Diceros bicornis minor: one gene and its partners. The protein of the gene in region 2 interacts with the protein of the main gene of each other region in a pairwise test. Links are inferred from orthologs where the notes say so. Each region holds a gene or a part of one and is shown on either strand. Other genes may lie near its edges.

Region 1 (7,173 bases), on a different chromosome or scaffold from region 2:
GAACAAGAATAGGGCCTGGACCGAGCAGGAGGGGGCAGGGGGGGGTGCTGGCAAGATGGGCGGCCTGCAGTGCCCATATGACCCACACAAGTTGCAAGTGCACCTGTGGGGACGGAGAAAGCAAAAGAGGGCAGGGCTGGGAATCCCAGAGCTGGATTCACTGCAACACCCAGGCAAGCCATCAGGGGCTACACTGGGGCTGAGGCAAAAGCTCCCTCACCCTCCTCACCTGTGTGCCTCTGATCAGACTCTTCCATCTCCACAGGGCTGAGCTGTGCGGGGCCCTGGTGGAGGGAACCTGGAGGGAGCAGAGTGAAGTAGGGGCCCTGCTCAGGCTGGATTCCTGGACCCCCAGCCCCAGGGGAGAGACCACATTATAGGGTTCATGCAGGGCAGTGAGGGGCTTACCTGGGGTTGGGCTGGAGGAGGCCACTTGGTTCTGGCTCCAGAGCCCTTTGTGGAGGTTTAGGGACAGTGGCATCCTGGGGGTGGGGTGGGGAAGAGTTACAGCCTTGGCAAAATCTGGGATTGTGGCCAATCTCTTCCTGGGGAGGGAGGTGTCATGAGTCCTCCTCAGGGACTGGGCTCTGTCTTCCCCTTTGGTGGGAGCTTCTTGTCCTGTCCCCAGCTCAGGAAATGTACAGTAGAGATAAGAGATATGGTGCCCTTCCACCCGTCACCGCTGCCTCTCCTGAGCCACTCCTTCCCAGCTTGGGAGGTCTTCCGTGAGGCCCTTCACTCACCTCTCGTCCTGAGGCCAGACCTCCTGCCAGGTTCCAGTGATGGGGGTGCTATGGGGGAAGGGGGTGCCATATCTGGGCGGCAACAGCAGGATGCTCCATAGGGCAGGCTGCCCCTCCCCTAACCAAGGGGCCTCAGCCCACCAGGGCCTAGGGGTGACGCTGGTTTGGAGGGAAGCAGGTGGGGGAAGGGGGCCAGGGAACTCCTGCAGACTTTCCTCAGAGCCCCCTGGAGTCTCCCTCACCCACATGATCACTTCTTGCTTCCCATCTACTCCCCCATGGCCAACAGGGAATTGGTTGAGTTTCTCCTTGAATCTCATCTGCACTCCCTGGCCCTCCCTCGTTGCCTCTGCCATCTCAGGGCTCTCTCTTGGTGGCCTGTGCTTCTGCAGTGTTTCCTGTTCTCGCCCACCAGCTCTAACAAATTTCTCTGGTCTCTGCTTCTCTCCAAGGGCCCCTACTCCTCTCTCAGAACCCTTTGTGGGTTTCTCTGGCTCCTCCTGATGTTCCTTCAGTCCCGGACCCAGCTCTTCTCTAGCCCTGTCCCTTCGAACCCTTCTGCACGCCTCTTCCAGGGACTGTACCCCCAAGGCCCTGGCCGCCTCCTCAAGGGGTTCCAGTTCCCCAGGCTGAAGCTCTACGCTCTCTCCATAAACAAAGTATAGAAGCTGGGCAAAGGTGGAAGGGCTGATGCCTTTCACCAGAGCCCAGCGGCCCCTGCGGCCCAGCTGCTGGCTTGCACCTGCCAGCACCAGGCTGTGGGCAGGGAACTCCTGGCTCCCCACGGTGATCAGGGTATCACATAGTGCTGGCCGGAGCCTGGCTGCTAGCCGTACCAGGCGATCAGAGCCATAGGGGCTAGGCAGTCTTGTTGGGGACAGGGGCATTGTGCCTTGCCTGGGTACCAATCTCAGAGGTTCTGAGAGAAAGGCCACAGTGTGGGGTCTGTGGCAGAAAGGAGAGGGAGGAACAGCATATTCTCAAGCCTGTGGAGGGAAGGGGAGAGTGAGTGAGTTGCTGGTTCTGGATCAGAGCTCTCTGTCCTGAATGGAGCAAATAAACTAACCCAAGAGAGGACCTGAGCTTATCCAGAATCATAACAGGGGCCAGGGTTGGGGGTGGGAGTGGTGGGAGAATGGAAATTAGACCAAATTCAGGACTTAAAGAGCAAGGACAAGGCAGTTAACAACTATATCAAGTAGTGGGTTTAAGACTAGTATAAATGGGTCCTGCCAATTGGCAGTCTCTGACTTAAAGGATAGCAGATGCTGATACTTCTTCTCCAAGCCCCTCTGCAGGGAAAACTCTGAGCAGGCCAGGCTTTCTTCATTCCAGACACAGAGATCACCATAAAACCCAGCCCAGGCAACTAGGGTTGGAGCAAGACGCAGCTTCATGGGAGAGTTTAGAAAGCTAGTAGTGTCCTCTTCCCACAAGCCCATCACGTGGAGCTGAGGGTCCTGAGAGGCAGAAAGGGCAGCAAGACAGGGTCGTAGTTGCAGGAGGGCAGGCTCTAAGGCATCAATCGATCATCTCCCTGAGGCTGAAGCTTCTAGAACACATTCTCAGAGAAGGAGCTGGAAGAGACCAAAGACTCCCATCCAGTGAGTTAAGAGAGCAGGTGCAGAAGCCACAGGAGAGAAGGCTCCCGACCTAAGGATGGAGAGAAGTTTTGGAGAAGACTTTGACTGCCAAGGAAGCAGGAGAAAGGGACATGGGAACTGTAGAGCAGGAGGCTATTTCCTCTCAATATTAGGATAAGGAGATGGTTTAATTTTGTTTTTCATGAGCCAAAAGTGAAGAATAGAAAGACAGCAGCTAACGAGGCAGAAGTTTATCACACATCAAAACCACCACATTGGCTTTTAAGAAGAGAACTGGGAACCCAGTTACCAAGAGACAGACCCAAGTGTCTCTGTGCCCAGCAGGCATATTCCTAGGTGTGGGTGCACTGTGAGTAAGGACGCTTCTGGGAGGGAGGATTACTACTTGGACACCTCAGGAAGAGGGCTACAGGTTGGCAGGAAGTGGACAGAAAGGGGGGTAAGGGAGGAAAGTCTCAGCTGGGGAGAAGCAACCACTCACCGGTTGTAGCTTCCTCCTGGACACCGCATGCTCTGAACTGCTGTTGGGGCTCCTGGGGCCCCCCCGCTGGAGCTAGCCCCGCCTCTGACCTCACAGTCTTCCATTGGGTGTCCCAAGTATCAGTCTGCCACAGTCCCCCAAGGGGGTGTGGTTTTATACTCCCGGCTCTGCTTCACCCCTCCAGGAGAGACCACCCCCTCTACTTCCAGAATCCAGGCATTGCCTCCTGACCTGTCTTTATTTCATTTGTGAACTTCTCCAGTCAAAGAAGTGTAACTGAGGCAACAAGAACTTTGGACTAATCAGACCTCACTTGAGTTTCATCTCGACCATTTTCTAGCTGAATCACCTTGGGCAAGTCACCTCTCTGAGCCTCCGTTACCTCGTCCATGAAATAGGGATAACCTCTGCTTACCTCACTTGGAGGTGGAAGTGAGGATGAAATGACATGATGAATGTGAAAGTGGTTTATCAGTACACAGCGTCATTCAAATAGTATTAGTTCTGTTTCTTAGAGGTGTCATTAGAGCTCTAGCAGCTGGAAGCTGTTTCTACTACCTGAGAAGTAAAAAGGACTGAAGCATCTAGATTCCAAGAAGAGAGTGAAGGAGGGCCGAAAGCATGCCTGACTTAGTACTACCAAGCCTTGACAGCTATGTGGGAATGACCCCTGTCATCTGGGCCACCATTGGGGACTGCATGTGTGAGTGACTCAGATCCTCCCATCAAGCGCTGAAGGGGGCAACCCCAGGAAGGGCTTGCGGTGGTCTTCGAAGAGAAAAACTCCTTTTCTTGAGTTGATGACAAATGACATTTCTCTGAAATCAGGACTCCAGGGTTTCTTTCACTTCCTGCCCAAGGGGTCAAGGTCCTTGGAGATTTCCCCTCTTTTCACACTTTACCACTCTTTAACCTGGGGAAAGGATGAGGTCTGAGAGACTCAAATTTCTTTTTCTGTTTCTTGTTATTCCATTATCCCTCATCCTGTGGCAAATTTTTCATTCATTCAACAAGTGTTGATAAATCACTCATGATAAGTGCCTGGCATGTCATATATGCCAAATAAATAACTGGAAGATATACAAGTCAGGCACGGGTAGGCTGCTCTGATGACGAGACATGGTCTGGCTCCCCCTAGGCTTCTCCCTTAGATTCTGGTCCCCTCCTAGACTCAAATATTATGTCTCTAAACTCCTGCTTCTCCCTTTGGCTCCAGGACCCCAAAATGTTCAGACCAGCCTTCTACTCTCTCCCTCCAGACCTAACATGCCTTCCCTCTACCTCTCATTCTAGCTTGGGTGCAGGCAGAAGTTAACCCTTCCTAGATCAGACAGGGTGTGCCAATGGGTGGGGCTGGTGGAGGGGCAATAATAGGGTGGGGAGAGGGGAAGATGAGTCAGAGTGAAAGGGAAAATGCAAATGGGCAAGCTTTAATCATTTGCTTCTCTGAACGTTAAATATTTTCCATTTCTGAGCTTTCTAATTCCTCACACCACCACACCCAGGGACTCATTAGACACCCATATAAAAGATACTTGGCCTGGACACATAAAAGCACCAATCCCTGATATGTATGTATACAGAGGGAAACATCCTTCCTCCAACACAGAAATACACAATCCTTGAAGATATGGAAGAAGTGGGGAAAGCCAAGAGGGAGATACCTCAAGTATAGAAGAAAAGGTACAGGGGTCTGGAAGATTACATCATCACCCAGTGGAGTGTAGTCCCCCTCACCTCCCAGCCCTATATCATGTGCCTGTGACTCAGCTCCCCCACTGGTGTGGTTTGCTCATTGATCAAGAGAACTGGAGACTGCTCAAAGGGCAGCATCCTCTGTAAACCAAATGTAGTTGACAGAGAGTGTCAGTGGGCTTTCAGGAAACCTAAAAGGGAGGAGAAGGGGCAAGGGGACTCCCCATTCAGTGAACAAAAGCCCCCAAGAATGGGAAACCCCATCTTGCCTCCCACTTGGTGTTTACCCCGTCTAAGGATATCCCTTTAGAGACTGCCTCCATAGAGGTATCTCTAGGGCCTCTACACCTCAGCCCTTGGGCTGATGACACTCTAGGCCCTTCTCTCTCCCTACATTTTTGACTGCATAGCCCAAGCCATCTTGCACTGAGCAGTCACAGCAGAAGCAGAAGCAAATAGCACTTTGACTTGGAAAGATAGGGACACTGCTGACTGTTTCTATTCTTTTTTTGGGGGGGGGTGATATTCACCCTTTGCTAACATCTGTTGCCAATCTTCCTCCTTTTTTCTCCCCCCTAAAGCCCCAGTACATAGTTGTGTATACTTGTAAGTTCTTCTGGTTCTTCTATGTGAGCCGCCACCACAGCATGGTTACTGACAGATGAGTGGTGTGGTTCAGCACCCGGGAACCGAACTCGGGCCACCTAAGCAGAGCACGCGGAACTTTAACTGCTAGGCCATCAGGGCTGGCTCATGACTGTCTCTGTTCTTGAAAGGTCTCCCCTCCCCAGTCTCAGAAACCTTGTCCACCTTCTACTTCCCAGGCTGACTTAGTGGGAATCACCTGCAGCTGTCTCCCTGGGGTGGGGCCAGGAAACCGCAGATTATGAGGACACAGCCTGCATCCTGGGAGAGGGTAGAGTGGGTGGGAGAGAATAGGTAGCACATAATTGGAAGAGAAGTATGTGGGAAAAGGAGGTATGATTTTTGCCTCTCAGTTCTTTCTGATACTCATACTACTAAGCAAAGCTTGAAATCTGATATTTTTTATTCTTACTGATAGGCTTGACCATAAGCGCCTTATAAGCTCCTTAAAGCACAACCCAGCTTGATGTAAAAATATCAACACAGCAATACAAGCATGGATTCCCTTTAAATATTATCATTAAAATTAAACCATCAGAATAGGCCAATTAGAGGGATGATTATTTGTTTTATGAAGAATGTTCCCTCTATCTCACTTATTTTAAATGTTGAGTACCCCCAAAGCCAAGTTTAAACAAGATCCAATTTAGAACAATTCTAGGAACATTCCACTCTTCCCAGGAACACATCTCTTTCACAAATTAAGATGCTTAAGCCCCCTACAGCATTTTATATAAAGACCAATTATCCAAACTTACATAAACTTTCAAATGTTCACTCTTTCTAGTTAATTACATCCAACACATAGCAGAGAAGAGACACCACAGAGTGAATTCGTTTCCTTCTTCCCTTAAATCTGTTCTGTGTAACCCAAGAACCAGATATAGTCATAGCCAAGTGAGCTGAATGTAGGTTTATAGAGACCCTATAATAGCACACCTTTTGTGGATTAAGTGGAAAAAGAACTAGACTAGAAGTCAAAAAACTTAGGTTCCACTGCATCCTCACAGTGGATGGCCTTTTTCTTCAGCCCTAATATGGAGCTAACTCTTCCAAGACCCTCAACTTCCTCACAGGGGCTGTTTTCAAGAACAGTACTGAATAGCAGCACTGCCTTAAACCCAGGCAGAGGGCCCCACTCTGATGTCTTCTGGCTAAGAAGTCCAAGGGCATCCAGGAAGTGCTCACCTGGAACCTGTGCCCCCCAGTTCTAGACCATGCTCTGGGTACTCGGAACCCTGGACCTCCTGGCCCAAATGGCCCACTTCCAGGGCCTACCAGGGTCCTGGTCTATACTCACGAGAGTGGACTGTGTGCCTGAGGTACTGTATGTGAGGGGCATGGAGACTGAGCTTAGACCTGCAGGCTAGTATGTGAGCCACCTTGAAGTGTGCGCCAACACCAGGTGTGGGAAGAAACGGGAATCTCTATTTATAGTCTTCCCTAGCCCCATAAATAACACGGAGCCTGCTTTATTCCAATGATTCTTAACCTATTAGGGGGTCACTATCCCTTTGAAAATGTAAGCCATGGAATCAACTCTTTACATCAGAAAATTGTCGACTCTTGTACCATTTTGCATATGAATAACAAGGCATTCACAGACTGCGCTGAAGCCCATCCTTGGACAGGTTAAATACTCCTTCTCACTTATCTGTGTGACCAATTTTGCCCCCTATTCCCCAAAAAATCCAACATGCATGCAGTTTTTCATATGATTTCCAGGAGCTCACAGACCCTTGAAATCCACTCATAGACCATCCTCTTGCATCCCCCACCCCTGGTTTAAGAACTCTGGGTGTATGTAAAAGCACTCCGAAAGCTTTAATACCATGTAGAGCTTGAAAAGCTGAGTGAAATTAGACATCCACACCCTGGCCCGTGAATATAAAAAGATCTTCGGTAAAGTCAACCTGGGTGATTTCCTAAAGAGCAGATATCTCACTCATCTCTTCCTGAGCTCCACTACAACATCCATCTTTCCCATGCACCTGCCCCATGCTTA
Region 2 (7,610 bases):
GAGGTTAGGAGTTTTTCAAAAACAAAACATAAATCCCAAACAGGGAATTAGGACAAAATTACCTGGATCGGTCAGGCCAACGTACTTTCTTTTCCTGAATTTTTAACACTATAAATCCTCTCTCTTCACGGTTTATCTGTTTTGTACACTCCACCTCTTCTACAACTTACATTCTGAAATCTGTCCTCTTATTTTTAAAATAACAAGTGTCTTGCTAAAACTACTGATACTTCCTAGAGCCACACGCCATTCCCACCTGAAAAGGAACACTGTCAGGGCAACAGGGCAGGGAAGAGGCAGTGAACTGTCCTGAGATGGCCAGTGATTCTACTCGTACACAACCTCCCACATTAAGTTAAGGTCCCAGGAACAGAGCAGACAACACCTCCGACCTGGCAGCAGTCAGGCTGAGCTGAGTCAAGCAGAAAAAGATGACTTTTCTCCACTTACTTTTATCAAGTTAACTAAGTTATGGTTTTGGGACACTCAAACCTCTTTTACTACCTATCAAAAGAAAAAAAAAAGTCTTTGGTTTGCCTAATTAACTTTTCCATTTACAAGCTTTCTCAGTTGGGAGAACTGAGAAAAAAGATGATTTCATGCAATATATTCTTACCCTTAGAAAGAAAAATTGCCATTCTAAGTGAAATAGAAAGGTTTCTGAAGCAATTATTATCTTGGTGTGTTAAATAAATTTGTTAAATATAGCAACTCCTTAAAAAAGCAAACTTGTCATCATTTTTTAAGTTTTATTTCAGTGGTAGGGAAAATAAATAGCAAAGCAACCAGTAAGGTTCAAGAAAAAAGTGGAACTTGCAATTCAAGTGTCCATCTCTTTGAAAAACAAAAAAATGTCAGTGGTATTCCTTCACTTGTAGTTAAAAAACCATTCGCATGTAAACAACACTTTTCAAAATAATAGTTTATAATAAAATGGGCAATTTCTTCAGGTGAAAAGGCAATTTTCTGTTTACTGCAATTCACCTAGGTTGCACTACCACAAAACTGTGTTAAGAGGAAAATCTTGTTATTTATTTTGCATTGTTTTGCATAGTCTTTGCTCTCTCCTCTATCTTCCCCATTTACATAGTTCCCATTTTACAAGTGGACAACATGCTGAGAGCTTATATGCATTAATTAAATCCTCTGCAAGGTTTGCTTTCGCTATCTGAATATTAGTTTGCACACAATATCTCAATAATAATCTCAACATCCTAACAGCTTCAGAATCAGTTTATCATTCTGTTAACCTTATACACGAGGATGCAGTACCTGTAAGAATGCTTTATAGGTCACATCTGGATGCATACTTTCTTGCATCCACACACTCTCAAGTTTCTTTTAGAATGTTTAAGAACTCAGCTAGTGTGGAATCTTAAAAAGTGGGCGAAAAGTATTGTTTCTTGGACTCCATATAACGTACCTGCAGGAACAGAGCCATTTAATAGGATACCACAAAATATCCTAACTACAAAATCCTGAAACGTTTGTTCAGGAGTTCTCCCCTACATTTACTGAATTTTGTTTTTCTACCAAAGGAACAATCCACAGCCGCAACATTTTTACCGCAATTACGGACGCACCACATTAAATTTACGCTCAGAAGTCAAAGTCCTATTAAATAGTCTCGATGATCATTTGTAAGGGGTAACTGTAAGTTTTAAACTTTTATTCTGCTCCCCACAACCGCATCGCCCCTAAATTTACAAAACCTAAATTACCCAGGTTCGGGGTCTTTGACTCATCAGAGAAGAATGCGGCTGATTAGTTATCTATTAATCCAAAATGCCTCAACTGGAAAGACATTTCACCAAGAACTTTTAACACCGAAAGGGAGGGGGCAGGGAAGAAAAGGTGTCTCTTAACGAGAACTTTCCCCTAGTTTCTTCCTTAAACTACACAAACACCAACGCACCCCACGACTTCCAGCCCTAGACGCAGAACTAAGTCCTGACCCTCCGGGTCCCAATAATCTGAGGTCACCCAGGAGTCAGCTCTCGATTCCGCTTTTAAAATTCCAGGCAAACAAAGCTGAGCGTTCTACTTACAAAACTCTCCGAAAAGTCTTCCAAGTTACGCAATTTTAGGCACGCAGACGCGCGTGGACCCACAAAAACACCCTCCCCGGAGATACACCCTCCGGGGCCACAGTTTAGGGCTCTGTCTCGGGGCAAGGACCTGCCCAGACCCTCGGCTGCGGCGCCCCCTCCCCGGCGCGCAGCCGGGCGCCCCGGGACCGGCTCTCCCGCCGGCCCCCGCACTCTGGAGAAAGCCCGCGGCTTCCGTCCCCGGTCGTCCCCGCCACCGCACCGAGCCACTCAGTACCTCTTCCTCCTGAAGGTTGGCCTCGTTCGGGGTGTTCTCCTTCTCGGCTTTGCCGCCGTTGTTCATCTTCCCGGTCCTTCCTCGCCGGGCAGGGCTGGGGCGCGGGGCTGGGCGAGGCGCGCTCGCCCACTTTTCCCTCCCCGGGCGCCGGGGCTCCCTCGGCGGGCGCCGCGGGCTACGGGGGCTGCAGCCGGGGCAGCGGCGGCTCGGGCTCGGGCTCCCGCGGCGCGGCGAGACGGCGGCGGCGGCGGCGGGCGACTCAGGAAGTGCGAGGGAGAGAGACGGGGCAGGGCGAGGCGGGCGCGGGCGGACCGAGAAGGGGACGGAGACAATCGGGACCCGGGAGGGAGACCTGGAGAGGGAGGGCGGGCGCGAGGGAAGGAAGGAAGCAGGAAAGGATGGGGCGAGGACGCGCGTCCCGGGACTGAGCCCGGAGAGTTGGGGATGTGGCCGAGTAGGGGCCGGGGGCGGCTGCTGCCCGAGCGTAGCTGGAGGGAGGGGGCGAGGGGTGCCGGGAGAGGAGGAGGAGGCGGAGGAGGAGGAGGAGGTGCGGGGCAGCGGGGCGCGGGCCGCGGCTGGGACGCTGGGACCCGGAGAGCCGCTGAGTGCGCGCTCCTGGCAGGCTCTGGGAAGTACGGGATCCAAGCAGCTCCCTTTCTCTCGCCTTCCTCCCTCCCCTCTCTCCTCCCTCTCCTCCTCCTCCTCCCTCCGCCCTCCCTGGACGTGGGCTGCAGGCTCTCGCCGAGGGACGGGACGCGGGACGGCGAAGCCCCCCGCGGGAGGAGGGGCCGCGCCGAGGGCGGCTGCCCCGCGGCCGGATGGCGCGCGCCGGGGAGGGGCGGCGGGCCGCGGGCGGAAGCCGCCGACCCTGGCCCCGGACTCGGCGGTAGGTCGGAGGGCGGGGGCCGGGCAGGGGGAGGGAAGGAGGTCAGGTCCTCCGGCTCGCTGGGCCCCTGGGGGCCGAGTTGGACAACTCGCGTGGCGGTGCGCGCGAGCCGGGAGAGGGGCTTCGGAGAGCCGGGCCCCGCCAGCGCGACCACCGGGACGTGTGATGTGCTACTTTTGTTTGCCTGCTTTTCACGAGGGATTTGCACCCCCATCCCTAAGCCTACCTCTCCTTTTCTGTACCGCTTTAGACCCATTTCTTCCCTTCCTAGTGGGCAACTTGAAATGACAGGATGGCGAGAACTCGGTGACGTCCGGGGGCAGCCAGCTCCGGGCCGGCGTTTTCAGGGCACAGCATCAAACCCACCTCGAACGCCGGGTCCTCCGAAACCTCTCCAGCCTCCCCACCGGCCGGCTGTGGCTCTCCGCTAGGCTTCCCGTGGCGCCCGTTCAGACTCCTCTCACAGCCCGTATCAAACTGTTCTGGAGTTATTTGTTGACCTGGCTGTCTTCCTCACTTTTCTGGGAGATCCTTCCTGGAAGACAAGACCGTGCCCTGTTTATCTTTTTAATCCCACGGCTTTTTAAATACGCTACCTGGTATATAGTAGGCACTCAATAAATATCTGTTGGGTAAGGGAATATTCGTCACTGCAAGCCGAACTGGAGGCCAATACAGGTGATCTTCAGAGGGTCAAAGCATCTTAGAGGAGAAGGGGGTCTCAGCTGACCTCTGGGAGGTCAGCGCACAACACTCGTTTATGCACCAACCTCGGAAGGAGTGCATGGTTTCCGTTTCCTCACCTGTGGAATGGGAGTAGTTCTATTTATCTCCAGGGGTTTGCTATTAGAGGAGATTATAGGTTGATAGCGCTATAGCACCTAGCACCCATTCTTGCCCAGTTTAAGGTTACAATACTTGGAGGCTAACATTTTTATTAAGGAAATTTTCCTGAGCCGTAGAGAGCTTTTCCAGGACTGTATCATTTAAGCTTTCCAATATGACTGGTACAAACATAAATTTGAAACTCTGTACATCAGTAGGTTCTTCCTCACTTCCCACTCGTAGGAATTCTGTCACAGCATGCTGTTCCTTTCCCGCACAGCACCAGTCACAATTTCTATTTATTTATTTGCTTGCTTCACTATTTGTCTCTTCCCCCCCTCCCCCCACTAGACATTCTTTACCCTATACTGGTTTAAGTGCTGCTGGAAATGGGGTGGGGGTGGAGGTGGGCATTGAAGATAAGGCCCCTGCTTTTAGGGAGTTTAAAGTGGTGTGGAGACAGGATACCCAAAACAGCTCCAGGGCAACATAATCGCAGATCCTGGCTCAAATTGTGGAAAGCAAAGAAAATATTTGCTTTAAGAGCATTGTGAAGAGAAAATCAGTTAGTGATATGTAGATTTACATGTTGAGTTTTTCAGGGGGGGGGTCTGAAGATTTTGATAAAGAGCTTTAATTGCTGTCATGATGTCATTTCTTTCTATGGGAAAAAAAAAAAAAGATGTATCCTGGATGAAAATAAACCAAGAGTCTATTGAAATTGCGATTGAAGTTCAGAAGAGGTGAGGGCTACAATTAATCCGGAAACTTGGACAACCCTTTCCACTGCCAGGTCCTCCCTCAGTTATATGAGGAACCACGAGGGGGCAATGTCTTCTTGAGCAGTGGCTGAGTGGTGGTCTTGGGCCCCTACACTGACCAGTAATGCCAGCACTTTGCCCTCCTTGGCCATTCTTGCCTGTTCCTGAAGACACTCCACAGAAAGGCATTGTCTTGCTGGAGCCTGGCCAAGGCCCAAGAAAAGTGACAATTGATCTAGTCATTGATGGTTCCAGTCAGACTCCACTCATGAGTAGGTGGGAGATGTTGTGTGATTCCAGGGTAGCGAGAGAACCTCCCCTACCCCCACCCAGGGAAATGTGGCTTAATCCCAAAGGTAGGACCTGATTCCTTTGTCTTTAAGCCAAGCTGGCACTGTGTCCTTGTTAAAAGTCAAAAACCCCTGGGATAAAAAATGAGAATAAATTCCATGAGAGGATCCTTGTCTAGTTTGTTCATTGTGTTCCCAACATCTAGACAGTGCCTAATGCACAGTTGGCACTCGATAATTGTGAGTGAATGAATCCACTGAGTCTTATCAGTTATTTATTCTTGGGCTTGAATGACATTATCAGATCCTTCCAAGACCCTGCAGGAGGGACTGAATTAGTAGAGGCATCTTAGTGTGGAGAGCCACCACAGGGGCACTAGGCAGATTCATGGTAGTGGTCTTTAGTCATTATTTTGCAGGGGGGAGACCCTAGATAGAGAGCTTGCACAGAATGGGGCTACATCAGGTAGCTGATGATAAAGCAGGGAAACCTAGAACATATAGTCAGTGGCAAGCTTGAAATTCAGGGTGTTTTCAGAAAAGTGTATGGGGCTGGGGTAATACACCAGGAAAAGAAGGACTCCTATTTTGTCCTTTCCATGAAGAATGGTTTAGACTTATTTGGAAGAACAATAAAGTCATGTTGCCAACAAAACTCAATGAAAATCTGTACATAGACTTTAGCTATTTATAAAACTTTGTGAGTGAGGGGAAAGAGTTTGACTGTGTTGGGGGTGGGGGGAGTGTACATTCATTCAGGTTGTAATGATCTTTATGACCTGTTTACTACTTCAGAGAAAGAAAGTTTCAAAAGTGAGATCTCAGTAGCAATCGTTTTCAGGCCTACTAAGAGTTATAAAACAACAAAGGGATTTTATGTCCTAGAAAAATAGGGCTAATGACCAAGAAATCTGCTTCCTCCCCTGCCCACCATTTTGCCACATTGCTTCTGGCTTATCAGGTTACATGCTAGGTTGAAAGGGAAATATTGTCTGCACGTGTAGTTTTCCTTATTCATCTCTGTTCCTCTGGCAGTGTTCATTTTGAGGCTTGCTTTGAGAAATACAAACCTACAATTATGTCTTAAATGTTTGTCTCTGGGAAGTGCAGGCATTAAAGGTCTATTCTGAGGCAATTTGCATGGCTTGTGCTCTGTACCTATGTTAGCACTGAGGCAGAAAGCTGCAGTATCTACCACGTGTTGTGATTGTTAACTCTTCTACATCCTCTGCTGGACCGAAAAAGTTCTTGAGGCCAGAGGCTGTGTTTTATTAGTCTTTGTTATCCTTAGCACTTCTCACTCCCTCACCCCACTCCCACCCACCTCCAGGCCATCACCATCTTCTCCTGATTTTATTTATTAATTTTTAACTGTGGCTAAAAAACACACAACATAGTATTTACCGTCTTAACCACTTTTAAGTGTGCAGTGCAGTAGTGTGAAGTATATTCACATTGTTATGCAACGTCCTCCTGATTTTTACCTCCTAAATAGTTCTGAGATTCAATCACTTCCCTCCAATCATTTGTGGAAGCCCACACAGCCACATGGAGAGGCCCATGTGGAAGAGAATTAAGTCCCCGGCTTACGGCCCCAGCTGAGCTCTCAGTGGACAGCCGGTACCAATTGCCAGCCTTGTGAATGAGTTTTCTTGGAAGTGGATACCCGAGCTCTAGTTGAGCTGCCCTAGCTGACACCACATGGAAGAGAGATGAGCTGTCTTCACTGAGTGGCGCCCAAATGGCAAAATTGTTAGCATAAAAGTGAATGCTGTTGTTTTAAGGCACTCAGTTTTAGGGTGGTGTGTTATACAGCCATAGATAACTGAAACATAATTACGTGCCAAGAAGTGTGGTCCTGCTGTCACAGAAACCTAAAACATATGGCAGTGGCTTTGGGATCAGGTAGAGGATGGAAACTGGAGGAACTTTGAGGAGTCTGTGAATGAAGAGCATTATGAAAGGACAGTGCGAGTGTTGTTATTGCAGGCTGGAGAAAACGGGACCCCATTTATGTATTGGAAGAACAATGAGCTAAACTAGCCTGCTGTTCCATGAAAGATAGAAAAGATGCCTAATGAACATGCGCATCTGGCTAAGGAGATTTTTGGATACAATGTTGAAAGAGTTGAGTGGTTTCTTTTAGATGCTTATGGTATAGTACGAGACAAGTGAGATGAGCTAAAAAAAAAAAAAAATGAACTGTTCTGTTTTCAATCAGAATTTAGAGGAAACATAAAGAAGCCAGGACTTGCTGGATTTGAAATAAAACTATTGCTCATTTCTAGCTTCTCCAGAGGAAAAACTCTCAAATTAAGAAATGGCTTAGGGGCAAGGGTCAAATCCAGGATGCCTTAGGCCTGGATGCCTAAATATGGCCTTAGGTAAAGTTCAAGGCAAGGGTGTAGCTAGAAAACCCTGTGGTAGGCAGCCTCTACGATGGCCTTCATGATTCCTACCTCCTGGTATTCAAGCCTTTGTATAATCCCCTCCCCTTGAATGTAGGATAGACCTAGTGACTTG
Region 3 (7,216 bases), on a different chromosome or scaffold from region 2:
TAATAAGCTAAAAAAAATATAAATTTTCAAATTTGTACTGCTCTTTCAAAATAATATATGAAAAAAATGACAAGCACAATTTTAGCAAAATATAAATGAAAATTAATCATTTATCTAAAGGAGTTTGTGTCAGCTGTGTTCAAACTACTTAAATTGAAACTATCTTCTGAATTACTGGAAAAATTTATGAAGTTCTGAAAATGAACATTTTATTAGTTTTACTACACTTTTTAAAAACTAAACAGTGAAAACACATTAATTTTTAAGGTATCAGAATACTTTATAGAAAGCACATTAGATCTTTATAGCATTCCTTAAATGACATGTATTAAAGTCCTGATTTGTTAGTTCAGCTGTTATCCAGTATAGTGCACTGAGACATGGTTGCCAGGGTAACGGAGGTTTTTTTACTGGTAACTCATTTTAATGACAGCACTACAGCGACATGGTTGGAAAATGAGACGGATTAATCAAAAGTATATGGATATATAAGTCTAACATTATTTCAAAATAAAAGAGTATAGATGGGTCAGTTCAATTTCATTTTAAATTATTTTTATTAAAGAATGAGAGCTCATTTTTTTCCTAGAAGTTAAAATATATAATGCATAAGAAGTTTTATTTTAGTATTAGGTATTTCACAACCTGTAGTAATACTGTGGAGGGAAAGTTCAAATTTAGAGACTTAAAAACTTGAACTATTTAAAAAAATAATTGTAAGTAAGTTTTTTTAAATATTGCTTTGAACACAAAAGTGTAACACATTCTTAGAACTTAGGATAAAGATATCTACAACAGAACCAAAATTCTTGTACACTACCACCAAATAGTACACTATTCCTTACATAAGGTCTTCTATAACCTGTCATGTGAAATCTGTGACAATTTGAACATAAAGATCACATTTTCTTCCCTCATTTTCTTGCTTCACCAACCGTCAGGTAGTAAAATAAAATGGGAAACAACACTCAGCATTTATATGCAAATCTGGACAGATTTTACACCAATTATTTGATTTCTAGTCACAAACCCTCCTTAAACCCACATGTCTAAGTTTCCTAACAACAAAAATGCCACCATTAAAAACATGAGGCTTAATTTCAGTCCACAAATTAGGCTTATTCTTGTTGTTGATAATTCTTACTCCATAATATATCCAGTAATATGCATGATTATATTTCAACTGTTCACATGTATTATACTTTGGCAATTATGTTCAAGTCCAATACTCCACCCTCTTAAGTGAAAATCAGCAACTAAAGCAATGCCTTAAGCAGAAAGTAAGGCATTGCTAATATTTAGTAATTGCAGCACTAATAGTCCTTCTTATGTCTATAACAGCACATAGTTGCACACAAAATAATTTTATTTATTTATTTTTCTGAGGAAGATTGGCCCTCAGCTAACATCGTGCCCATCTTCCTCCACTTTATATGGGACGCTGCCACAGCATGGCTCAAGCAGTGTGGCGGTGCGTGCCTGGGGTCTGAACCAGCCAACCACTGGGCCACCGCAGCAGAGCGCGCACACTTAACCGCTTGCACCACCAGGCCCAACCCCAAAACAATTTTAAAATAGAATGTTTTAAATGTGTACCCTGGAAAGGAGTCTATCATTAGAGCCCATAAGGAGCTTTAATTCTGAAAGGCTCCAAATGGAAGTTTGGCCAACTCAACTATACACTGTAGTGATTCTTAAACGAAAATATCTTCCTTTATTTAAAAGAAGCAAAATTCTACCGACAGATGAATATGTTATTTATATGTTAGTCTTCTTATACAGGTAATACATCCTGCTTCCTGGTTCTAACACCATCCTCAAACACAAAGTGGGACGGATTTGTAAGAGAAGCCACGTCTTAGAAAGCTCCTGCTGATACTCCCTCTACGATAGTGGCCTATTTTAGAATCACCATATATTATAAAGGCTATAACGTTATTTATCAAGACTGTAAAGAGAGCTTAAAGAAACTTCAACATTAGCTAAATTAAATACACATATGAGGAAACCGGTGCCCAAATACATCAAGGGGCTTCACAAGGATCTCAGTTAATATCGACGCCAGGATTAAATCTGAGGTCTCCTGACCCCAGGTTCAGCGGTCTTTCCAGCGCCCCAAAGAAAATGTTTTAAAAGTTAGTAATTAAAACTAGCTGATGTTAGGAAACAAAGATAGGACCCTCGCGTGTATTACCATCCATGGCTGCCCGTCCCGTGTCGCGGGTGCGAGGGGTCAGTTATCTTTCCCGCACACTCGCAGCCTTCCGCCGTTCAAACCGGACACGCGAGAGAGCACTTGGGAAGAAACAAGAGTCAAAAGCAGAGGACAGAGGAAACTTCGAGGCTCATCCTATTAGAACTCAATGCAAACCACGACGTGATTGCCAAATCTCACCCGGCAGTCGGGACGCCCGGACGCCGTCCCAAAGCCTCTGGAGCGGACGCGCCGGCGCGACAACGGCCGGCCGGGAGGGACGGCGGGCGGCCTTCAGCTGTGGCGGTCGCCGGAGGAAAAGAGTTAGGGGGAGAACATGGAGGGCAGCAGGTGGGAAGCGTCCGGAAGGCGGCGGGGGAGAGCGGAAACGAGGCGGAGAGAGGGCAGGGCGCCCCGGGGCGGAAGGAGCCACCGAGGGGCCCCGACGAGACGGGGAGGTGGGGACAGACGGCGGGACCACGCGGCGCGAGGGGGGCGGCAGGAGCTGTCCGGTCGAAAGATGCCCCGTGAGGCTGGGCAGCCGCGCCTGTGACACCTGCCCGCCCGCAGCTCGACGGGGCTGGGGAAGGAGGAGCGCGAACGCGCGGACACCGCCTCCAGCGGGCGTGGGTCCTCGCTGCGGATTTGGCGTGAGAGTGAGTCGACGAGGCTTTTCGCGGCCAGGAGGCAAGGTCTCCAACCGTTACCAGCGGTTTGGCAGTGACCCCGCTGCCCCCAACCCCTCCTCACCCCTTCGGGTCTTCAAATGTTGGTCCTAAATCCCTGGGACCAACGACCACAAACCGCCGCCACCGTTTCGGGGACCAGTCCGTCGGAGCGGGGACGCCGCAGGGGGGAGGGGAGCGCACGGGGAACAGCTCGCGCCGTCCTCGCGCCTGGGCTCGGCTCCCAGGGGGCGCCGCGCGCGGTGGCCTAGCAGCCCCACGAGGAGTGGCGCCTCGACCAATCAGTGACCGGCCGCGGGGAGGAGCGAGAGGGGAGTGGGCGGGATCAAGGTTTAAATCTGAAGGAGGCTCTTGGGAGGGGAGTAAAAGTACTTGGAGTGACTGACACTTTAGCCAATTGGGGCGAGAGAGCGGTTTTAGGGGGTGGGTGGACCGGGAGCGATACCAAAACGAAATCCTGCGTGTTTTGTTAAGGGGTGTAAACGCAAGGGCTGTGGTTTGAACTTCCGTACTTCTCTTACTTGGGGAAAATGTAGATGCGTTGTAAGGATCTTTCCCTCGTTTAACGGAGTTTTCAACTCTTAACTGCTAGTTTGACCCCGTATACTAACTATGGACCTTTCTTTAATAAGGACTTGGGAGGTGGAGGGTGGGAAGGTATATGGCTAAGAAATGGATTTGCAAATAGGACTAGACAAATAAAGGTTAAATGGTTTAAATGCCTAGGAGAATGGGCTGAATCGAGAGACCTAATAATAGGCCTGACTTGACCACTAATCAGTTTGAGGAGAGATTTGTAGGTGTTGGAGCTGAAGAACCGGGTTCTATGCTTGTGTAAAACAAATTTTCACGGATACGGCTGTGTGGCATTTTGCATACATACGCTGAGTTTTGCTTTCTATAAAAATAGAGCTTGGGTTGAAATGGCAGACAAAGAAAGAAAAAAATTAGCTTTTGGAACCAGCTTTGTAGATTCATAGACCCGTAGAATATTGGAACTGGAAAGATCGTGTAGTTTCTCCCTTAACAAACCGGAAACTTGACGTCGTGAATAATCTACCTAATGCAGGTCCCCTACTTCCCAACCTCAGGGCTCTGCTTTCTTCCATACTAACTCGTGATATCAGTTCGTTGTCTCCATATGTTCAAGGTACTAATGAATGTCTTAAATTTTCTTTATTAATAAATCAACTCTGGGCGCCAGCCCCCGTGGCATAGCGGGTAAGTTGGTGTGCAGCTGCTGGAAGCCTGGGTTCGGATCCTGGTGGCCGACCGACGCACCGTTTGTCAGGCCATGCTGTGGCCGCATCCCACTTAAAGTGGAGGAAGATGGGCATGGATGTTAGCTCAGGGCCAGTCTTCCTCAGCAAAAAGAGGAGGATTGGCATGGATGTTAGCTCAGGGCTGATCTTCCTCACAAAAAAATAAATAAATCAACTCTGTGTGTGTATACATAAATATATATAACATATATATATACACACACACACACTCCAACAGTGGGGAATTAGCAAGGACTTTGGAGTCAGACAGATCTGTGCTCAAATCCCCATGTCACCATTTTGTGGTGTGACACCTTGAGCAAATTGCTTAATTTCTCTGAGCTCCAGTTTAAAATGGGGATTGTGGGAATTAAATAATAAATAGTAATGTTAACAAATGCTGAGCCCTTTTGTGTGCCAGAAACAATTCTAAGGTATTTTCATGTATTAGTTCACATAATTCTCACAGTAACTTTGTCAAAGGTATTAGCCCATGGAGCCCCATGTTATAGATTGGGAAACCGAGGCACAGAGAGCTTAAGTATTTTGCTCAAGGTCATACAGCAAGTAAGTTGCCCAGTTTAGCTCTACACCCTGCAGACATAACCACTATGCTATACTGTCTCAAAATGTGTCCAGAAGCAAGTGGCATAATACCCAATGCACAGTGGAAGCTCAACAAAGATTCTTTCCTAAACTCCCTGCCCTTCAGTCAGTTAATGAATACCAATCTCATTTATATAGGCTGCATACCTGCAAAATAAAGCAACTAGAAAATTTAGACTGATAGAATGTACATCTGGTAACCCCCCTTTTCCTTGGGGGATATGTTCTGAGACCCCCCAGTAGATGCCTGAAACCACAGATAGTAACAAACTCTATATATACTTAATTTATAAATTAGGCACAGTAAGAGATTAACAATGATAACAAATAATAAAATAGAACGATTATAGTAATAGACTGTAATAAAAGTCATGTGAATGTGGTCTCTCTCTCTCAAAATATCTTATTGTACTGTACTCACCCTTCTTCTTCTTGTGATGCTGTGAGATGATACAATGGCTATGGCATGAGACGAAGTAAGGTGAATAACGTAGGCATTGTGACCTGGCGTTAGGCTACTATTGACCTTTTGACCATACTTCAGAAAGAGGATCATCTGCTTCCAGACAGAGGTTGACCCTGGGTAACTGAAACCTTGGAAAGTGAAACCACAGATAAGAGGGGATGACGGTACATACTTGGTATTTTTGACATGTCAATTTTCTACCTGTATCATATTGATTACTATTAGTGGCTGCTCTTTTATTTCTCCGGAAAAAGATTCCCCACATTTCTTTATTTTCGTGTTGGTGCTGTCTCAATTGTCAGTAATTAATTCTAAATACACGTGTTTAAGATTAAACTAGCTGAAATTGTGTTAGACGTGTTAGTCTGAAAAATTCAAACAACTAAACAATTTCTAGGAGTTGCTGTAGGATTCTTAACACATCACTAGGTGGAGATGTTATCTTGTGAGGTGCGAAAGATAGTTCGTGGAAGTAGTCCGAAGGGCTGTTTTACATTTCTAGGTTTTTTCCTACCCCAAGTAGAAAGAAAACCAGATAGACAAAGGCTTCTCAATAGGCATTAGAGTCGGGCCATAGACCCTTGCTTTAGATGAAGGCAGTGTTATGTAAAGACCCTTCCAGTATTTACATTGTATGTCCTTTTGGTCAGATTCCCTCTAAATCTTTTTTATCCAAAGTCTATTAATAGGTGTATTTTTCAAATGCTATGAAAACTATGTTCTCTGCGTGTAAAATTAAAGGAATGGCCTTTAACTTTATTTCTTAAGGCTCTTAGAACAGAAGATCTAAAACATCTTTACCAGCTAGAATTCTTTTTCAGGAATGTATCCCAAATTAGTGTTTGCTATAAATTTATTTGCAAGTTTATGGGAAAAGGTGGTCCAAATGAATAGGAAGAATGAAGTTAAGTGATATAGAGATGTTTTTGGCTAAAAAGAAGCCAAAAGTGGAAAATACTTGTTAGTAAGGGAGAGTTAGCTCCCTTCTGGGGAGCTCTGCAAACACCAGGAAGATAAATAATACTGACCTTGGGACGTAGGAAGAAAACGTTGTCAATAAAAATTGGAAGGGATATATAGTTTGGATACCATGTAAATGTGTTTTTTCCCATATGAAATGCCAGCTTTTTGGAATAAAGTTATCTTCACATACCTTCTGTAAAATATAAATCCCCAAAAGGAAAGAAAAGCAATAAGTCCATGTAAATGTTTAAAATCCAATTTAGTCGTAATAAAAGAAACGAAAGGTGAATAGTTTCATATAAAAGAGGATTGTGTGGTATTCTGGTTTGTTTTCAATGTGTTGGAGCTTCCTCCCTCCATGTCTGGCAGTGATGACACAGATCCATCCACGGAAAACATGATAACTACTTGCATGTGTATAGAATTAGTGGTCTACAGGACACAGCTTGGGACCTAAGGACCCTCCTTTAATCTGGTGACTCTCCAATCTAAATGATATCTCAAAACTCTTTCAGAAGTATGGGAGTAGGGATGCCTGTTTCATGCTTATAGTAAATATGTTTATTCCAATTCACAGACCCTGGTTTGATGCTTTCTGCCTGACATATTAATTTGAACTTTTCGTGACTCTGGGATATGAGTGTCAGCACCAAGATTATAAGGTAGGATAGGTGCTTTTTCCAGTTGTGGTGCTAAGTTACCCTGAACCATCTTTACATCCAGTCATTGTACCTCCCCTGATTAACAACCTATCTTTCTAAGACAACAAATCAGAAATAGAGATCTTTGTACATAATTTAATTGTCGACACAGGCACCAAACCCATATATAAGGTCTCAGTTAACATAGGTGCTAAGTAAAGGAAGTAGTAATCAAGTGAACCGTTGCTGATTGATATTAGTCATTAGTTAACATCAAGATCCAGTCATCCAATTTTTTTTTTCTTTAAATCAACTACAACATTAGAAATAGTGTTAGGCAATGCCAGGAAATTAATCTTTCTCCTCTGAGGGATATAGACTTAACTCACATGAGGAAA

The links.
Region 1: the proteins of RBPMS (region 2) and ZBTB32 interact in a two-hybrid assay, tested with the Homo sapiens proteins (3 studies listed by BioGRID). The two-hybrid records come from large-scale screens. The link is inferred for Diceros bicornis minor from reciprocal best matches to the Homo sapiens genes RBPMS and ZBTB32.
Region 3: the proteins of RBPMS (region 2) and RBM46 interact in a two-hybrid assay, tested with the Homo sapiens proteins (2 studies listed by BioGRID and IntAct). The two-hybrid records come from large-scale screens. The link is inferred for Diceros bicornis minor from reciprocal best matches to the Homo sapiens genes RBPMS and RBM46.

What each region holds. Positions count from the first base shown.
Region 1 is NC_080773.1:8,864,757-8,871,929, forward strand, and holds the start of ZBTB32 (zinc finger and BTB domain-containing protein 32), read right to left. Parts: upstream 3,010-7,173; 5' UTR 2,829-3,009; intron 1,730-2,828; 5' UTR 1,631-1,729; coding exon 744-1,630; intron 546-743; coding exon 409-545; intron 299-408; coding exon 230-298; intron 104-229; coding exon 1-103. UniProt on the Homo sapiens protein: DNA-binding protein that binds to the to a 5'-TGTACAGTGT-3' core sequence. May function as a transcriptional transactivator and transcriptional repressor. Probably exerts its repressor effect by preventing GATA3 from binding to DNA.
Region 2 is NC_080768.1:28,063,459-28,071,068, reverse strand, and holds the start of RBPMS (RNA-binding protein with multiple splicing), read right to left. Parts: upstream 3,009-7,610; 5' UTR 2,392-3,008; coding exon 2,326-2,391; intron 1-2,325.
Region 3 is NC_080750.1:42,841,495-42,848,710, reverse strand, and holds the start of RBM46 (probable RNA-binding protein 46), read right to left. Parts: upstream 3,010-7,216; 5' UTR 2,945-3,009; intron 1-2,944. UniProt on the Homo sapiens protein: Essential for male and female fertility, playing a crucial role in regulating germ cell development by ensuring the proper progression of meiosis prophase I.